Caenorhabditis elegans: one gene and its partners. The protein of the gene in region 2 purifies or fractionates together with the protein of the main gene of each other region. This does not show direct contact. Each region holds a gene or a part of one and is shown on either strand. Other genes may lie near its edges.

What was found.
Region 1: the proteins of che-11 (region 2) and ifta-1 purify together in Caenorhabditis elegans (affinity purification with mass spectrometry, with the first as the bait; one study listed by BioGRID). This does not show direct contact.
Region 3: the proteins of che-11 (region 2) and ift-43 purify together in Caenorhabditis elegans (affinity purification with mass spectrometry, with the first as the bait; one study listed by BioGRID). This does not show direct contact.

Annotation. Positions count from the first base shown.
Region 1 is NC_003284.9:5,546,671-5,554,551, forward strand, and holds the start of ifta-1 (Anaphase-promoting complex subunit 4-like WD40 domain-containing protein), read right to left. Parts: upstream 6,083-7,881; 5' UTR 6,027-6,082; coding exon 5,949-6,026; intron 5,897-5,948; coding exon 5,707-5,896; intron 5,659-5,706; coding exon 5,535-5,658; intron 5,208-5,534; coding exon 5,060-5,207; intron 5,016-5,059; coding exon 4,935-5,015; intron 4,880-4,934; coding exon 4,822-4,879; intron 4,776-4,821; coding exon 4,485-4,775; intron 4,060-4,484; coding exon 3,914-4,059; intron 3,865-3,913; coding exon 3,739-3,864; intron 3,696-3,738; coding exon 3,612-3,695; intron 3,566-3,611; coding exon 3,461-3,565; intron 3,336-3,460; coding exon 3,146-3,335; intron 3,099-3,145; coding exon 3,043-3,098; intron 2,992-3,042; coding exon 2,935-2,991; intron 2,459-2,934; coding exon 2,320-2,458; intron 2,237-2,319; coding exon 2,136-2,236; intron 2,083-2,135; coding exon 1,592-2,082; intron 1,228-1,591; coding exon 1,090-1,227; intron 961-1,089; coding exon 828-960; intron 780-827; and 8 more.
Region 2 is NC_003283.11:12,144,616-12,152,319, forward strand, and holds the start of che-11 (WD_REPEATS_REGION domain-containing protein), read right to left. Parts: upstream 6,093-7,704; 5' UTR 6,075-6,092; coding exon 5,970-6,074; intron 5,819-5,969; coding exon 5,686-5,818; intron 5,601-5,685; coding exon 5,515-5,600; intron 5,468-5,514; coding exon 5,346-5,467; intron 5,297-5,345; coding exon 5,104-5,296; intron 4,501-5,103; coding exon 4,179-4,500; intron 4,134-4,178; coding exon 4,018-4,133; intron 3,528-4,017; coding exon 3,276-3,527; intron 3,230-3,275; coding exon 2,964-3,229; intron 2,915-2,963; coding exon 2,797-2,914; intron 2,752-2,796; coding exon 2,470-2,751; intron 2,362-2,469; coding exon 2,148-2,361; intron 2,102-2,147; coding exon 1,993-2,101; intron 1,946-1,992; coding exon 1,565-1,945; intron 1,518-1,564; coding exon 1,422-1,517; intron 1,374-1,421; coding exon 703-1,373; intron 656-702; coding exon 534-655; intron 492-533; coding exon 279-491; intron 235-278; coding exon 62-234; intron 20-61; and 1 more.
Region 3 is NC_003280.10:5,659,381-5,662,853, forward strand, and holds ift-43 (Intraflagellar transport protein 43 homolog), read right to left. Parts: upstream 1,407-3,473; coding exon 1,391-1,406; intron 1,300-1,390; coding exon 1,214-1,299; intron 1,164-1,213; coding exon 1,007-1,163; intron 952-1,006; coding exon 796-951; intron 745-795; coding exon 557-744; 3' UTR 501-556; downstream 1-500. Other genes in the region: Alpha-(1,3)-fucosyltransferase fut-3, read right to left, coding at 1-73, 118-387; mdt-26 (TFIIS N-terminal domain-containing protein), read left to right, coding at 1,814-1,933, 2,330-2,401, 2,788-2,907, 3,016-3,154, 3,202-3,473. UniProt on the Caenorhabditis elegans protein: As a component of IFT complex A (IFT-A), a complex required for retrograde ciliary transport and entry into cilia of G protein-coupled receptors (GPCRs), it is involved in ciliogenesis.

The DNA of each region.
Region 1 (7,881 bases), on a different chromosome or scaffold from region 2:
TACTTATTACTTATGATTCGATTTCAAAAAACATTTCCCTACTTTCAAACCGTGTCACAGTATTATCTTTAAATCTAAAACATTCTTACTCTCGAAAAAGTGTTGTTGTGCCATTATCATAAAATGAAAAGCTTCTGCTCCTCTCCAGGTATTCTCCAAAATTCTTGACTGCTCAGCACTCAACCCGGATTCATCATCTAACGCATCCTCCAGAAAATTGTGCTTCTGAAATAAATCAATTATTTATGTATTTCAATTCTCAAAATCAGCTACATCAATTTTCCTCAACTCCTTGATAGTTTGCCTGTGATTTTCTACGAGAACTGCACCGAGCACGTAGCACTGCTTCAACTCTTCATATGGGACATACTTTGACTTTCTGTCTTTTGCAATCTGAAAGGAAATTGTGGGGTTCACATAAAAAACAAGAGACGGAAACTTGCATCAAACGCTATTTTGGCGGCGTCAAGATGTCTTCCTGCTCGCATATAAAGTGCAAGAGCAGATAATGATTTCTCGTCGCTTTCTGAATAATGACAAAAATTAGAATTTAACATAAAAATTTAAAAAATAAACAAACCTCCTCGCATTTCAACCGCGAATTTTCCCAATAGTCCTTCCACATTTTCCATATGATTTGCATCAGCGATGAATTGTGCTTTCTGCCACTGATTCAGCTCTTTACACGCGTGCAATGCTTTCTGTGGCAGGCTCCGTCTTAAATAGCATTCAACAGCTTGGTCACACATTCCGCGAGATGTGAATGCATCGCCCATTACCTAAAACAAGAACATGTAAAGCAACATCTTTCTAAAAAAAAATCGTACCTCCATAAATTCACTGTCATCTGAGAGAGTTCTAGCAAGAACTTCCAACTCTCCAAAAAGATTTCCTCTTATCAAACAATCAATCTGATTTGCGGTGTCTCCACAATAGGAGTAAGCCTTGGCGGCTTCTTCCCTGAAAATATAGGATAAATGTATGCTTCTCAGCGTCCGACACTTTTTGGGTTGCGCGCCGCACGCCGGATAGCAGGCGTTTGCGTGGAAGCCATATTTATAATTTTTAAAAAAATTAGAAAGATATTACCATTCCATCATTTCGTAGTGTGTTTCAGCCATGTTTCTGAATGCATCACATTTCCCTTCATCATCGTCATCATTTCGAATCAAATCATATACAGATGCGTAATCACCAACCTTTTTGTACATTTCAACAGCTAGGTCTCTGAAATTTCAACTTTATAAATTTAAAGTTTCAATTTTTAGTAATCATTCAGTATTCAACTATTTTAAATTTGGAAAACTAAATATCAATATACATTTGGAGTCCTGAAAGGATCCACACTCAAAACCTTTCAGTACTTCATTAGACGAGTAACTGATTTCGTGGTCCGACATCTACTGGGTTCCGCACGGCACTATATTTACCTTACTGAGGGCGTGGATCGTTACTGCAAAGTGAACATTGTGCGACGCTGAGTTAGTAAGTAGGGACCGTTTAATTTTGAGGTTTTCTTGACAAAGAACAACAAAGTTTTTTAGATTTTGGATTTTGTACATTCACGCTTTATATGCATCGATTGACTTGCCGTCTATCAGCTTGCAAAAATGCAGTTTTTGCTTCTTCAAGTGTATCACGGTATGCGTATATTTCGGCATTCCTCAAATCATTTGACTGGATATTCCTTAATTTTTTGACCAACTGAACCCCTGCGTAATCTCCAAGTTTTACAAACGCGTGTTCTGCGCAATCGAACGCATGTTTAAAAACTGCATAGTTCGCAATCATGCTCCAAAGCTCCGAGTGAGGACTTCGCTCCGCGTAATCTATGGCTTCTTCGAGTTTCATCGCATTGACAAGGTTCATGACGTCTTGTTTTGCTTTTATCATAACCTCCACTATGCATGTTTTCGTTGGGTTTTCGGGAGTCAGTAAAATTTTCTCAATGTTGACGGCGGTAACAACCAAATTTTGAAACAGCAGAATGCTTCCATTCACAGATGACTGCTCCAGTATTGAATTTCCGTCACAAATCAATATTTTCTGCTTATCCTTGAGGGCAAGCATGTTGCTATTGTTCTTGAAATATTTTCAGGTAATAAATTGTTCAAAAATAAAATAATGTAACAAACCTGATCCCATTCATAATCCCAGACGTCTCTCTTATCACTTGTGTAAATCAGCTTCAATTCATCACCGTCGAACTCATACAACAAAAATTGAAATGGAACTTCTGAAAGTTATCTACGACTTATTCGACTTTCACGCCCTGTTCCAATAAATGATTTAAACAATAAATAAGCACAAATGACTTACGTTCAACCAATTTGATAACTGCCAGGCGGGTAAAAGTACAATTCAACTTAATGGAATTGATAGATGGGGAAACTGGATAGCTGTTAGTGATAACTCCGTCATTTAGTGATACTCTATAGATTCCACCGCTTAACAACGCCTGAAAGTTTTCTTAGTGAAAAAGATGGCAGAAAAAATTACCGCCCGAAATATTTAAAAAAAAGGAGTTCCGATTTTTAATATTTTTCAATCATTTTCATTTTGTGGTTTACAAAATTTTTCAGGTTTCTTTCTAAGTAAGTAGGGAAACCAGTTTTACATTTTCAGTGAATTTCTACTTTTCAGATTAAAAATCAATTTAGCCGCCTTGACACAGAAAAGTTTGTCGAAATTTCAGATTATAGGTAAAAGTTATTTTTCAAAACTTGAACTTTTTTTAAAATCTTGTCATAAAGTGTTGGGAAATTTTGAATTCAAAATTTGAAATTTAAGAGCGAACTTTCAGTAAAAGTGAATAAGTCAAAATTAATTATTAATATAAGTCAAAATTTAGACAATTTTTAAGTTTCGTCGGACAAAATGTGCAAAATCACTACTGGCACTACACTATTTTCAATTTTTATTTAACAAACTTACCATCATAAAGAAAGTATCACCAATGCAAAGAGCACAAATTTCATCCTTGCTCCCAAGCTGAAAAAATCAGTTTTTGTGTTCAATTTGTTAAAAATTGGATGAACTCACTAAACGTTTAGTGCCATACTCAATTGTTCTTTGTTGTTCTTCCAAAACGTAATCACCTATAAGAATACTGATAATATTATATGTTACCGTTTTTCGCAAATACCAGATTTTCCAGGGACATGAATTCCTGCTTGCACGGAGTTAAACTTTGGAAGTACAAAATGCCAGATAAAATATCTATCCTCAGAAGCAATCACCGCACAAATTCCATTAACACATGCAAACTTTGGACGAACCGTTGTCACGTTGTAGTCTAGTGATGTTCCGATGCTATTACAGAGTTGACAGAAGTACTGAAACATAATTTACATTTTGCCTCGGAATTGTGTAGCAAGTGTAGATGGTGTATAACCTAATTCCCCATATGGAAAACTTTCTAAATCAGCTATCAGCATCCCGTCACTTGCTTGGTACTTACATGTGGTATGACTCCGTCATCCTGTCGATTTATCAAAACACAATGTTCCCGATAAAAGGCCATATTTTCGAAATGAGTCACAGTTTTGACAGTTTTTTCATCAGTCTGTGAAATTCTTAAAATTTTGTATGCAAATCAAGTTTTTGATTACCTTGTAGTCATAAAACATTATGCCGTATTGGTAGAGCTCCTCTTTTTGGTAAACGTAGACTATTGTTTCTTCAATTGATCCCCACTGTGAAAAAAGGACTTATGAAAATATATTATGAATGTCATACCTTAAACTCTGGGCGAATTTGTCCAATGAGAAGAGTTCCGGCAGCTGCAATCGCCATTCGAAGACCTGTTGACTCCCAACAAATTCCTGTTATACAAGAGTCGTTTGTTTGAAAATATCCAACGATCTAAAAAACCAATTTTGTGTGCACACGGCAAAACTATAAAAATTCTTACATGTCCGTAAGCAGATAGAAAATGAATTTTTGAAAAAGTTGGTTCGTCCTTGTCTGAATCATTTCCACAGACTGCTAAAAAAGCTCCATTGGGCGACCATTTGGCTCCAGTGATTTTGAAATTCGGAATAGAAACAACGACTGGTTCTGAAAATGCAAAAATGTATGAAAGGGAGTTTCAATGTTTATAATTATTGAAATTACATGTTTTGATTTTTTTTTAGTAAAACTTTCCAGGAAAATTAAATGAAGAAGCAGTTAAGTCTCAAAAATTTCAAACGTGTCAGCCAAATTGAAACCTATGATATTTTCAAATTAGGCAAGTATTTTCCTTCTTTCTGACATTACTTGTCAAGAATAAAACTTGGAATGCCATGATGCAATAGGTAATTTTTGTACAATTTCATAACTTAAGTCACCTCTGATTTCTAGTGTTGTCCAGTGTTTTTAATTGAATTAGTATACTAATATATAGCTATTTTTCAATAGTGCACTTAAATTTAACTTTTGACCCTTTCGTCAAATTTCAAAATTTAAAATTGTTGACCTGTCTAAAACTCAACGACACTTACCTGGATCATTTAAAGATCTCATCAGTTGCATCATTCCTCTCGCATAGGCAACCACAAATCGGGGACGATCTGGAGGAACTGGTTGATAGGGCTCCGTGTTCTTTTCATGTTCCGGCAACTCTTTTGGTGGTGGTTTTGTTGGGAAATTAGTGAAGATCGCCGTTCCAGTTACCTCACGATCCTTCTCTAATTTTCTTTCAAAATCTCTCTCCATTTCATCCAAAATAGTTTTTGATTTCAACGTTGGACTCCAGTATTTCAAGCAGACGATTTCCTCCTTTTGATGCTCTTCTAAAAAATAATATATGTAAAGAATTATGTGACTGCTATAACTAACTCTTTGCTAATGCTTGCTCCAGATCCTCCGCTTCTAGACAGTGCATGGGAATATCCAACTACAAAATTAATTAATTTGCTGAATAGTCTTAAAATATTGTTAAATAAACTTACAAAATGTGATCCACTGTCATCAAAAACCGAAACTTTTCCGTCAGCAGTTCCAAAAATCAGCATGTCTCCATCAGGCGCCCACTTAACTTGTATGGTTCAATTAATATTACTTTTATGCCGCTTACCTCGCACGCAGCCAATTGTATTTCCAACTCTTTATTCCATATTCGATTTCCTTCCAACGTCCCGACAATCACGTTTCCATCAGCATATGCTATGGCAATTTTAGTTCCTTCTAAATTCCAGCAGATTGAAACAACCACACTTTTGTTTCTGAATTAATAAATTTATGTTAATGGAATATACTATTAATACCCAGACATTACACAGTACTGTAATTTCAAAATCTTGTCGCTGCGGAGTTTTTATTGAATGTTTATAGTTTCTTTTGCGATTTGTTGAATTTTATGTTGTTGCATTGTTATATTTTATCAAACTGCTTAAAAAATATACCAAAAACTATGGGAAATCGTTTAAAAAGTTTGAAGTTAATTGCCTTTTAAAGACGTATACTCTTTTTGCAATTAACAAAATGTGAAAAACAAAAACTTGTCGCGTCGAGACCAGGTCCCACATGTTTGTTGAAAAATCATATGTTACCTATTATTAATCATTTCCTCACACCATTGTTCGTTGAACATTCCCCATACAATAATTAATCCAGACGTGTCGCTCGTTGTCAGTTTTTGATTATTTTCATTCCACGTAGCATTCATCACAGTTGCTGCAAATATTAAATTGTTGTTAAATTAAATTACAAAGTTTCAGTTACCATTATGCCCCTCCAAAGCTTGGTTCACCACAAGAGTTGCAGCATTTGGGGATTTATTCAAATCAGTGGCATCCGTTCCTATCTTGACGACTTTCAGCTTGCCTAGTGCACCACCGCATGCAATATAATTACTGTTGTAGTTCCACTCGGCAAAATGGAGCTGTCCGTGTTCGGGAAGTCCCAAATTGAACTAAAGTTTTCAGTGAAATCATAAGTTTTTTAAAATTGAAGAATTAATTTACCTTTCGGAACACGGACATTGTCAATTTTCCAATTGTTTTCTCATTGTAATTTGCCATAACATTCAACATCGGCGGCATATTGTTCGATAAAAAGTAATCACAACAATATTTTAAAACGGCGACGGAAGACAAAGAATTGGAACGCAATTGCTGACAGCCTCCTCTTTGGCAAGCGTTATTGCCATGGCAACGCGCAGTTAACGACACTCACGGCAAAAGAGATGTGGGACAGGTGCAGTGCACACTGTGTTTTAAGCGGAGGAAAATTTAATTGGCATAAAATATTTAGTTTGGCCTAGAGAAAAAATGTTGCACAAAAATACTCGAATTCACAACAAAAAAAACCACATATAAAATTTGAAGCAATAAAAATTTGGCAATTAATTTCTAAAACCGTCGAATAGCACTGAAATAGGTTCATGAAACAAAAAAATCAAAACAGTTTCCGATAGAAATGGTTATAATTTGTATTTCTCTAAAACTCAACATTTTCAAAAAGGTAGAAGCTCACAGTTTTGAAAACGCAAACAATAAAGTATGGTCAGTAAATAAATTCTTTAAAGCCACTCACTTGTTAAAAAAAACCACATACCATAGTAGAAAGTTTCGAAAATCGATTGAAATTTTTTTCAAAAAGTGGTCGCAGTGAGTTAGTCAGTGGAACACATTCAATTTTCACCTACTACAACTCTGAAAATCGACAAAAATTGTTTTTCCTTTTTTTTTCTAGTTTTTTTCGCATTTCAATTGCTTGTGTTTGAACACTGTAGGCTCTCTTAAAAATTCCTAAATTTTGGAAAATGTGGCAATTTACCGCAGCTGAAAGTTAAAAAATTTTCTAGAGTGTTTTATCATGATATTCGGTCATGTTCCAATATTTCAAATACTTATAGATCAAATCCACACAGACTCAATCGTAAAGTAAAAACCTATTCTTGCTTTTTAAATTAAATGTTTGAGCCGGAAGTGTTATTTTCAATACTATTCAAAGAGTCCCGGCATATTTATGGAACTGATTAATTGAGTGCTTACAGCGTTACAATCTTAATTGTTTGGAAGAAAAATTCATACAACCACTATAAAATATTGCACAACAATAATTTCTTATTCCAACTACAAAAATTATATTGTTCAAAAAATAAGGAGTTACATTTTTGGATTTTCCAGATGTTTGAATAGTTGTTTTTCTATCTAATTTCATTTTTCAGCAAACTTTAAAATAGCGTACTGCTTAAAAACCCGCTTACAAATAATGAATTTTCCCAGTGGAGGAGTGAACGATTTCATTTGGACGAAGAACTTAAACAAAGAAAATAGTGGTGAACAAATCTCGGTTGAAACAAAAATGGTGTTGGTCCCTTTTTCATTTTGTCCCTCTAGTTTCCTCTTTTTGACTCAAACAACTTTTTTCCAATTTTGATATTAGTAGTTTTTTATAGTATGAAGTTAATTCCACGGAAGTTTGTCAAGGTTGTTTACACTGTGTGTTCAAATTTAGAAAAAAAAACTACATCTGGTAAAAATAAATTATACAGATTATCAGCTTTTTTCATTCAGGAATACAAATTTCAAAATTATTTGGCTCTACGGATTTTTAGTTTTTGTGAGTCGAGAAATGCCAATGAGTTTTATTTTAATAAAACAAATTTTTGTTTGAGTTTTTCAAAAGTTTGGACTGTAAAATGTTTGATTAAAGTTTATCGAATAAGAAAAAAGATTTTTACAGTTTTACAAATCTAGAAAAATTGACTGAATTATATTTAATTTCCCGCGTAAATGAAAGGCATAGTCTCATCTTTTTAGAGCTTTCTGGCTAAGATTATTGGTCGATCATTCTTCCACAAACAATCTCAACAAAATGTGAATATTTTTTCTTTTTTCAGATTAATCTTTTCTGTGTGTATTTTTCGATTGTCCATTTGGATGTTGAATA
Region 2 (7,704 bases):
TGCATCGTTTTTCATTACTCTAAATTAATTTTTCAGCCCAATTCTTGAATTTTTTACTCACTCTAAAACACTCTGCAGTTTCCTCAGTTGAACTACATATTTTTTCAAATCCTCTTTCAATGCATCAAGTCCAGTCGTGGACATATTTTTTTGTTCTGCTTCCAGAACACAAACTGCCGCCATTTCCAAAGCTCCCATCGATTTATCAAGAGTTCTCAAATGTTCGGCTTCAATCTAAAAATAAACAAATAACATGTCAAACACTAAGAACCTCATACAATTGCAACTGATTTGTAGAAATTTCCAAGATGTTCAAAAGATTGTGATTTTGTATAAAATGTTTCGATATCTTTCATTGTCTGCTGATTATCTTGCCAATCAGTCGTTTGTAAGAAATTGGCTGCCAGAATGTAGATCTCCTTGTTTCGAGCAGTGTTTGCAAAAAATCGAATTTTTTGAATGTCTCCGGATTTGAGAAGAGCTCTCATTGCCTGAAATGGAAACTGAGCATTATATAAATTATACCAACATACAGATAGTTTGTCTCCTGCTTGTGTAAACTTCTTTGCTGCTGCTGAGTAGGCACCTTGTTGAAGACAAAGCTCCGCCACTGTTTCAAGAACTTGTTTTCTTTCTTGTACATTTGGCATGTCATCTTCAAAATGTGTAAATTTTACATGAATCTCAAAAGAAAACACGAACCTTTTGTTGGAGTCATAAGTTCTGCAAATTTATCACTGACTCTCACATTCCTATTTTTGCATAATTGTACGGCTCCAGAAAACTCTTTTGCTAGGCACAAAAAGTTAACTGCCTTCTCGTAGTTTTGATTATTTTCAAAGAATTCAGCAGCTCTTCTCAATATTTTTGGATCTGTTCCTGCATCCAAATCCTTGGTAATTAAATCCAGAGCGCTGAACTGTTCAGTACGAAATGCCAAATCAAGAGCTCTTCCAATCATTCCAGCTTTATGATACAGCATTACAGCTTTGTGTGCATATCCAGGAAGATCTTCGTAGTATCTTGCAGCGCTTACAAGTTCAGATCCACCCGCCATCAAGCATAAATTAGCAAGCCTATCTTTCATGTCATGCTCTTTTGCGAGACGTATTGCAGATGACAGCGCTCGTGCCTTTGTGAAGAATTTCACAGCTTTCACTACGTCACCATCATTTTCATACATTCTTCCAATTAGATAACACGCTGCTTTATCTTTTGATTCTTCGGCAAGCCGAGCAGCCTCATCGGTTTTGCCTTGAATACACTTTACACGAACCATGCAGTAATAATCTTTTGCAGAAGAGTAGAAGCTTATTGCACCCTCCAATTCTCCAACACTTTCCAAGTAGGCTCCCCACCAACTATACAATGATCTGAATTTTTGTGAATTAATATTTTTTAGAATTTTTGAATAAACTCGCTCTTCACGTTTTCTACGAACATATTGTTCTATTTGTTTTGGATAGTCTTTGAGCATTCGGAAAACTTCAAAAGCATGAACTCCTGCTTTTTCGTAACTGAAAATATATTTTTTGTTATCATTCAAAACTACAAATAAACCAACTTCTCAATAGCAGCTTCAATACTTGCTTGATCTCTTCTTGCTTCCAAATACTTTGCATAGTTGTAATGAGTATTTCTCAAATGAATACGATCCTTTGTTTCAGCAATTTCAAAAGCTGATGACCACATATTTTGAGACTGATAAAGCTTGTTCATCAAATCATATCTTTCATTTTGTGCATAGATAATCAATGCTTCCTCCAGCATACTCAATTCAATTGCCAAAGCTGCACACTTCATTGAATCATTCTCCCCATTTTGTTGAGATCTCCGCACCGCCCGGGCTCCTCTCACATTTTTCATATGTCCCAGACAAACCATTGCAACATCTAGTCGACGTGTTTTAATACTCATTGATGCCATATGATCCCATACACTATCGCTTAAAAATCATAATCACAAATAGAGTTTCTTGAGTTAACAACGGACCTTTTTATGAATTGAATTGCTTTAAATGCAGCGTCCATGCTACCAATCGTCAGGTAAAATGAGAAATCCATCATGGCTTTTCTAGTTGATTCGTCACAATTTTCGTTTCCTGAAATAAATGTATTTTTATAACTTGCAACTGGGTCCTTTCATACCTAAAAACTCTCGAAGACATTTAGCCACGAGAGTTTTTCCAATAGTTCTCTCATCTCGATTGTCTTCCTCATCCCATCCAGATTTCCGAACAAAATAAAAATTTGGAACAGAGACTGAAACAAGTTTTCCACAATGCAGATTTTTTTGCTGCATTCCTTGAAGTTGTATTCCATGTTCAGAAGTTACAAATGCTGTTAAAACTCTTTGATCGGTCTGAAAACAAGATGGAAGTTTTCTAAGTTTTTTTAAACAATTGACCTGGTTAAAAATGTGTTATATTGTTTTGAAAATTCTACATTTGTCCAGATTGAAGTAACTTACTGATTCAGGTTCAACATGTATGCATTCAACTACAAGATATCTTGCATCATTCTCATCCCATTCAAAAGCTCCAGGACGATGGTTCATCATTTGAAATCTTGATTGTTCTCTTGCCATTTTCCGTGCAGCTGCTGTAACAGGTCTTCCACTGCTTGTATGAGCAAGTTCTGCTTGGGTTTCATATTCTTGCGTATCTGTCATTCCACGATCAAACGAGAAATAAGAAACTGCATCGAGTTCGGCGTCGTAGACAAGTAGGCGTTCAGCAACTGTCGACACGTCCTGAAAAATTTTAAGCTCCTGCATTATTTGCAACAAAACAACTACCTCTAAATAAGATACAGCGACTTTATTTCCAGTATGATTGATTCGGATTGTATGAAATTTATAAAAATTCTTCACATTTTCGATAATGTATTTCGAATTGTGTTCTTGTTGGGCATCTCTGAAAGTTTAATATCAATAAATCAATAGCTTCTAGTAAATTTTTGTACTTTGCGCTTAAGTTATAAATTCGAATGAATCCATTTGTAGTAGCAACTGCCATCCAACATCGATTCACTTCAAGTATTTCCGGATCACCTTCAATTTCCGGTAAGGAAATTTCTTGTCGAAGAGTTCCTTGAAGAGTCCTCGCAAATATTTTGTCTTTTTCGATGCAATACAAGTTTTGATTCACAATTGCAACAGAAGTTGTGTTACAAGAAAATGATGTGCATTGGATAGTTGCAAGAGATGTTTGTACGTCATAAGTGACTACCTGCAAATTTTTATTAAACCGGTGATTCAGAATATCTGTTGAATACCGTATCTTCATTCCAAACAACAAGTTGCTTCTCTCCGAGACAAATTCCTTTTGCAGAAGGAATAGACAACTTCAAATCTTGAGAGACTCCACTTGTCGCATGTAAAAGAGTGAAACTATTTGAACTGGTCTGAATTGCCGCCATTTTTCCACGCATTTTTACTGTCAATGAGTTTTCTCCAATTAAGACAAGATCTTCTTCAGTTATTAAAGCAGCTGTGCTCAGTATCGGACTCCAACGAATTAATGAAACCTTAAATAAGCTCTCTTAAAATTAGACGTTTAGGTTATCATAATAATTGCATTTTAAGTATACCTTAATGTAAGTTAAAAAATTATAGTGTTGTAGTTCCGGTTAGAGGCATTGGCAGCACTCAGCAAAAAATCAAAAGTATGGAGTTAAAAAATTCACACTAAAACACATAGACTACCATATCAAACATCAAAAAACAAATTAATTTTGTGAGGTTGAGTGAATTGGCTATAACTATGTTGACAAATGAAGTTTGAATGACAACTAGCAAAATAAACGTTCTCAACCGAAATAGATGAAAAAATATACACTATTAAAATACTATGTTTTTGTGGAAAACTGAAAAAATTTCCTACTTTGGAAAAAGCTATTTTGTTTTTAGTTCAGTTCTATAAACTCAAAATTTATAAGAAACTCGAATAGGAATAACATTTGGAGGATATTCTCATCTAACATTCTAAAAGGGGATTAGCGTGTCATCTTCACTCACCTGGCTATCGACATGCGTGCTGGGACTCAAATTCCAAGCACTCTCGACATTAGTATCAGTTCGTTTTCGTTTCCATTCAGCAATATTATTGAGACTCGTTGCCGCAGTTATCACACCTGATCAATATTTTCTTTGATTACCTCTATTTCCGGTTTTCTTACCTCTTTTCCCATTAACTGTGACTACATTTATTGTCTCATCTGGTTGAAATCCCTTGTTTACATCTAATGCAATTGTTCCATTCTCCTCTTTTATCAAGTCCCATACTCGAATTTCTTTTTCACCATAACACATCACCAGTATTCCATCATCCAATTCCAAAGAATATTTTTCAGATTTTCCTCCGAGTTTCACTTTTACTCGTTCTGCGCATCGCATTTCAGATGTTCCCTTGGCCAAATGAAAAATGAAGCAATCTCTTGTAAATACAATAATTATCGATATTGTCTCACAGTATCCCATGAATAAGATTTCCGAGTCCAGCTGAAAATTTTTCCAATTTTTTAATTTTAGATTTTTAAACATAATTTGAGTTTTTATTTATGAGTAACCACTAGTCAGATATGTCAAAAATAATAATATTTGGATAAATTTTTAAAAAATTTTCTGTAGTTCTGTTTGTATTTTTGAATAGAATTTTTATATTTACGAGAAAATCAAAATCTTCTTAAACAAATTCTTGATGCCTTTTATCTCTAAAATTATTTTTGGAGCGGTCAAAGTAACTTCTCTACAGCATAGGTGAATCTGGACCACTGTAATGTAAAAGACTGTTGTGAAAAGAGGCGTGAGTCTTTAAAGAGAACAGTATTTCCTACTCGTCGCTTTTTTATTGGAGTTTTCTTACAATTAAATTTTTCCTTTGCCTTCTTGCATTTTGCTTAATAGTAATTAATTGGCATACAGTGCGTGCAACTTCCATAGAAGTAGAATTTATAAATTTTTTTACTAAACATGGAAAATTTTGAAAAATTATAAACTACTGTATTATTTCATCTGCTTGTAAATATTTATTAGGAACCAGAACTCTTCAATACAAAGTTGGCTACATTTGTGCATAGACTAGTAACCTTTATCCTAGCTCACCTTATGAATAGTCCGTTGTCGGTCATTATCCACTCCATAAATGGTACCTGATTTGCCTGCAAATAAGAACTCAGTACCCTTTGGTACAGTACTCTTTTCATCTCTTCTTTCTGCCAGTGACTCTTTTGAACCGAACGGTGACTCATCAACTCCACTGTCATCATCCGTTACAGAAATTTTACTTGGTTTGAATCTTAAATTTTACCATTTTTAATTTCACTCAGATTTATGAATTATATTACTTGTCATAGCTCAATCGTTTACACCATAACGTAATTTGATCGTTCAGCTCAATCTGCATTATATTTGAAGTGGAAATTTCTTCTCCAATTACCATGTAGGAGTATAAATGGACTGATGATGGCTGAAATTAAATAAAATAATTTGTAAGTTTTTTAAATTGATACTCACATTATGCAACGTCATCAAAACAGTTCCGTCGTGGCTCCAATCTACTCCTTGATTTGGAAATGGATATGTTTCGACCACAGTATGAGCTGAAATGAGTTTTCCATTACTAAAACATTATTTATATATATATATATAACTTTTTGTAGTATTAGTTTTTTGAAAATCACTCACAAACATTCCCTCCTTTTGGAATAAAACAAACTCCTCCATCTTTCCATCCTACTACCACGAATTGTTTCTTTGGATGCCATCTTACACAAGAAACTGATCCTGGTTTTGATGGCCCCTTTTCTTGCACAGATCCCTTAAAATTGTTTCAATTATTATCTAATAAACGGGAAGATACGCTCAAGTACATATTTGTTTTAAAGATCTATTGAAAATAACTCAAGGATTTAGCTTTGATCCATGAATAAAACAGATTATAATCTCGTTCGATTGTTCATTTTTCTTACTGAATGATCCGAAAATGCGACATTTGCTTCTCCAGTTGTCTCATCTTGAGTTACAACACAAATCCAACCACAGTGAGGTGCCCATTCAATTAAAAATGGTTTCATTTATGTTAATAATTGAAGAAATCGGGAAGTAAGGACAAAAAGTAAACAACAAAGGGGAGATGCGTGTTTTGGTTGCCATGGAGATTTTGCTCGCGGGGGAAGGCGGAATAGATATTCGAATGGAATTGGAAAGAAAGGGGCAGTATTGAAGAAAAATGTCGATTTAAAACCAGATAAGTGAATTATTAAAATTTCGGGGAAACATCTAGATAAATTCGGAAAAGGGGATGTTTCAAGAAAGAACTTGGGTTTGAACTGACGGGCAAAGGCAAAAAAAAAGACAAAATAAGTACATAATTTTCCTGGGTTCTTATCATGAATAAAGTTCCCCCACAAATGTTGAACATTAAAACATTTAACATAAATCAAAGTTGTATTGGAAATCATTTACCCTACTATGTACATAAGTACAGGGTGGCCCATAATTATGGGGACCGATACTTGCGTCTATAAAATTTGATGCAATCCTTCAAAAAAATTTTAACAGCATAGGTTTTATTCCCCATATTCTTAGGAACAAAATATGTTATTAAACTTTGAAAATATCATTATGTGACACGTTACACACCTTCCGACGTTCCGAAGTTAAATTGTCGCTGGCGCGCTAGTGTGGGTGTTTTTCTTTCTAATGATGTCTTCAGCGACTCCTGCCAGTTTAAAAAGTTTACTATTACTTTTTAAAATGACATTGACTGTAGAATACGTATTTCAAAACAATTCGTCCATTTTAATAATTTTCCGTTAGTGTGGCCATTGATTGAAGGGAGATAGGTTGAAAAGCTCAAAACGCGCACATTCGACTCGGTTTGAAAGTCAGGAGACGGCGGAATTTTTTGAAAATAATATATTTCAGATCTACAGTCCAACTTCTACTTTTGTGTAAAAAATTATGTCCCTATCATTCCAATGACCTGAGATATTACTGAATATGCAAGAATGTGTGAAAAAATCGCTCAATTTTTTGCGAAAACGGGATTTAGCTAGTTCCAAACAATTGTCCATTAGAAGCTGGATTCTAATGAAACTTGTTTTTCTTTTTTTGTATACTGTGAGAATATATTTTGTGGTTCTAAAATGCACAAAACACTACAGAAAAAATCAGTTTCAACATTTAGAGAACCTAAACTATGCAAAAAAAAGTTGCGCGCCAGAAGGGTGAAAACATGTTACACTCCCGACGCTGCCAAACTTCTGTTGTTCGACCAATCGAAAAGTTTTTTATGTTAGCTGATAGAAAAATATTTTGTCTATCAATAAAGTAACAAACCCTCATTTTTTAGTTTGTGAGACGTGAGATTTGCGTACAAAACTACGGTCCCCATAATTATGGGCCATCCTGTATATTATGAAGATAAATGGCACTTTGACCGCAAACCTATAGATCAAGTTAACTTTTATTTCCATTTTTTGATCAGAAATAAAAACACTTTGGAAGGTTCTTATGCTGTAATTTAAGCAATTTTTCAATGGTCATATCTGTTCACAACATTATTTGATTACTTCCAATATAAATGCCCAATTTTATATTGAACCAATGGTTAGAAACATCTCTTCTGCCTACGTCGTGATCAATTACATACTTATAAATCCTCTGTACTGTTCAGAATATAGTTTGACCTACAACCCGAGC
Region 3 (3,473 bases), on a different chromosome or scaffold from region 2:
TATCAGCAGCATGAAATACGACAGCATCAGCCGAATCCAATTGATGGCGATTTGTATCAATTACACAACGATCCTTCAAAATAAATAATTTATAACTGTATTTATTTACAATAATACCGTTAATCCTGGACAGTCTGAAAGAGCAGTTGAAGGAACAGTTGCACCGAATATTGTAGTCCAGTATAGAATTCGTTTCGGGGCAAGTTTCCCAAAACGGCTACCGATTCTATCCTGAGATACTGTTAGGTAAAGATGACGTTGTGGTCTGTGAATTGGAACGTGTGATCCATCATCATATCCGATAATCGAGTATACTGTGTAGATACCGAGAAGAGCGCAAACACCGAGAAGCAGGTATCGATAGACACTTGCTGGCCGAACCCTCATCTGAAAATCTGAAATAGTTAGGAATGGTGTGCATAAATATTGCAATCTAGATTGTCAGGCATTTCTGGAAGGATATATTCACCTTTACATTTCAAGGAATAGTATTGTAGAAAGATGATGATTTATTTTTATTGATATCACAAGTATACTTTAGATTTTCAGTTACAGATTAATATTTGCTGGAAATCAAAGTTTCACGAGCATTTCGGGAACGAGAATCGGACGGTTGATCTTTCGCATCTATCCTTTCCTTTTTAATGCGAGACTCGAGAGAATTGAAGAGGCTTTGAGCAGTCCATGGACCCTCTTCGTCCACCGTCTTTTCAGTTGGAAACGATCGCCCGAGAATGGAAACGTCTGAATGAAAATTGAAGTGTATTTGAGAGTAATTTGATATTCGAATCTCACCAACATCTCCGACTTTGAAATATCGTGTGAGTGGATGCATGGCATTTCCAAAAACGCCCGCACCTTCGTTTAATGTCAACTTGCTTCCAGTTTCCGGATTGCGGTCTCGATAACCCGCATACTCATCATTAATCTGCACACTTTCTATAGTAGCGGCTGAAAATTAATAGTAATAATTTATGCACAAAACCAAAAGAAAATGAAAACTTACAAATCCTTGCCATATTCGGGAAATTGGTTGGCGGTGCAGCGATCGTCTCCTGTGAATCATCATCATCAGTTTTCCTCTGCGATTTTCCAGTTTTTCGAAAAAGACCTGTCAGAGGGCGTGTGAGAGTCTCACTGCTGAATCCTTTAATTGGATTTTCCTAAATTAAAAACTATTTTAAAATGCGAAGATGCTTCAGAACTCAAATACCTTTAGAATCCCACCGAATCGTCCCTTCTTCCCAGTTTCCGACTCAGCACGCTGTTGTATTCTGAATCCTGGCTCGTTTGCTTCATCTAAAAACAGATGCTTATGAAAAATTATGAAATATGTCACGAGAACAAAGTGCGGAGTGCTCAAAGTGAATCACAAGACAACAGCAAAAACTTTCGAGTATTATCATTATTTCTGTTCATTTAGAAGCAGGATAGTTGAGATTAAAATAACAAAACAAGAAGCCCGTCGTCTGAAAAGAATTTAATCAATACTGCTCTTTCGGGGAACGAATTATTTTGAAAAACTACAAGCAATACAATTAAAACACTTTTCAAGTTCGTTAACAGTCCTTATTTTTGGAAGCTTATAGCTTTAAAATGTTTGTTTCAATAAATATATAATAAAAATTTTCGAGCCGCAACGCATCTGCAAGCGGAGCGTGTAGATGGGCGGGGTTTATGTCTCCAGAAGCCAATTGCCTCTCCGTAAGAGGCGTGGCCAGCCAATCAGCGCACTGCAACAGCCTCCACGAGGGGTATAAAAGAGGGAGAGTCGCGCGCGCGCGTTCAGTCGCCCAGCTCGGGCTGTGAATGGATGGTCGCTTGCGCTGCGCTCTCCTCCTTGCAGCCACCAAATCACTTGGCGGTTTCAATGGCTGCGTCTGCTCAAAATGTTGAAGAAATCAAAAAACGGCTTCAAATAGCCGCTGAAAATGTAAGCCTCGTCCCATGAATCACACCCGTCAATAGAAAAGCTTTTGAAAAATCGATAATTTCACAATAAAACAAAAAATCATTTTAATGAGGGTTATTTTGCTAATAAATGGAAGCTGGGCTTTCCCAGCATCTGTGTTTTCAGGTTGCGAGTAGATAATTTCATGTATTACTTTAATTCTTGGTTTCCTGCTGATCTGTTTTGTTATTTTATTATTTATATATATAAATAAAATTTATTTTTATAATAATGCATTTTCCATTTTTATTTTCAATTCAATACAAAAACAAACAAATAAAGAATTATCAGTTTTTTGGGAAATAATCCTGAAGATCTGAAACAGTTTTTCCCATACCATTCTTTTTTACGTTTTGATTTCAATGTATTTCGCTTCAGGATGATCAGACGTTGTGCGAATCACTGCTCAACGAAGTTCGGCCGTTGGTGACGAGTCGAGAAATTTTAGAGGTAAGGTTTGTCTATTAAAGCCACCAACACGCGCTTTTTTTTACCCGACTGTTGGGCGTGAAGCCGCCCGAGAGAGCCGAGAAGGCAGGCGCGTCCTCCTCGGGCCGCTTTGCCCCGACTGACTAGACACCCGATGGAGATACCTCCTCTGCGTCTCGAACCCCTCTCGCGTGTCTAATGCACAGTGTCTCGTTGCTTACCCCCTTTTCTCTGAACTCTTCATGTATATGTTGAGGGTAGGCAACGAGACACGCACGTCAATCGATGAATTTGAATAGACTGGCATGCTTGGATATCTCGCGCAGTGTGTAGAATGCGTATTAGCAACGAACTAAAATCATTCACAAGGGGAAAGATACTAGAAACACAAGAATTTGTTAATTCAGGAAACTCGAATTGGATTCGTCGTCAATCAGCTTCGGAGGCAGTACTTCAAAAAGTGGCCAGCTCTTTTGAGGATAAGTAGAGAAGTTATCAAATCGTGGTCCGAAATCGTGTGCGATGAGGTAATTAGTGAATTCTATGATTCCTATTCTTGTGATGAATGTAATTTTTATGTTAAAAATAATGATGATACTATAATGCAACTCGATTTTTACGAAAAACAATTGCAGGTTAAAAGGCCGCAAAGTGGAGCTTCTTCTCGAAATACAACACCGAATGTTCTTTCTCCGAGTGTCGCCAGGCTCATGCAGCGAGGAATTACACCTAATACACCAGCTGGAAGGCGGGTCACATCTACTGGCCTTCCAGGTATAATTCGATTTAAACAAGTTGATTGTTTTAAATCGACTTTACAGGTTCCCAACAGCGCCTTGTCTCGCCAGCGAACGGTTCATATGCTCCACGTAGTCAAGTTTCGCCTGGCGAGTCGACTCCTGTTGCTGCCTCCGTCGTTGTGAACGGAATGCACAAGTCAGCGTCAGTTGGTGGAGATCTTCTGAAACATGCAACAGCATCACTTTCTACAAAACCAATCACACCAAAGGAGAATGGAAAACGGAAAGCCGTCGATGAAGCTGCTGCTCCCTCAATCAAGAGAACCAAAACGGCTGCTGCTGCACTTTCAGTA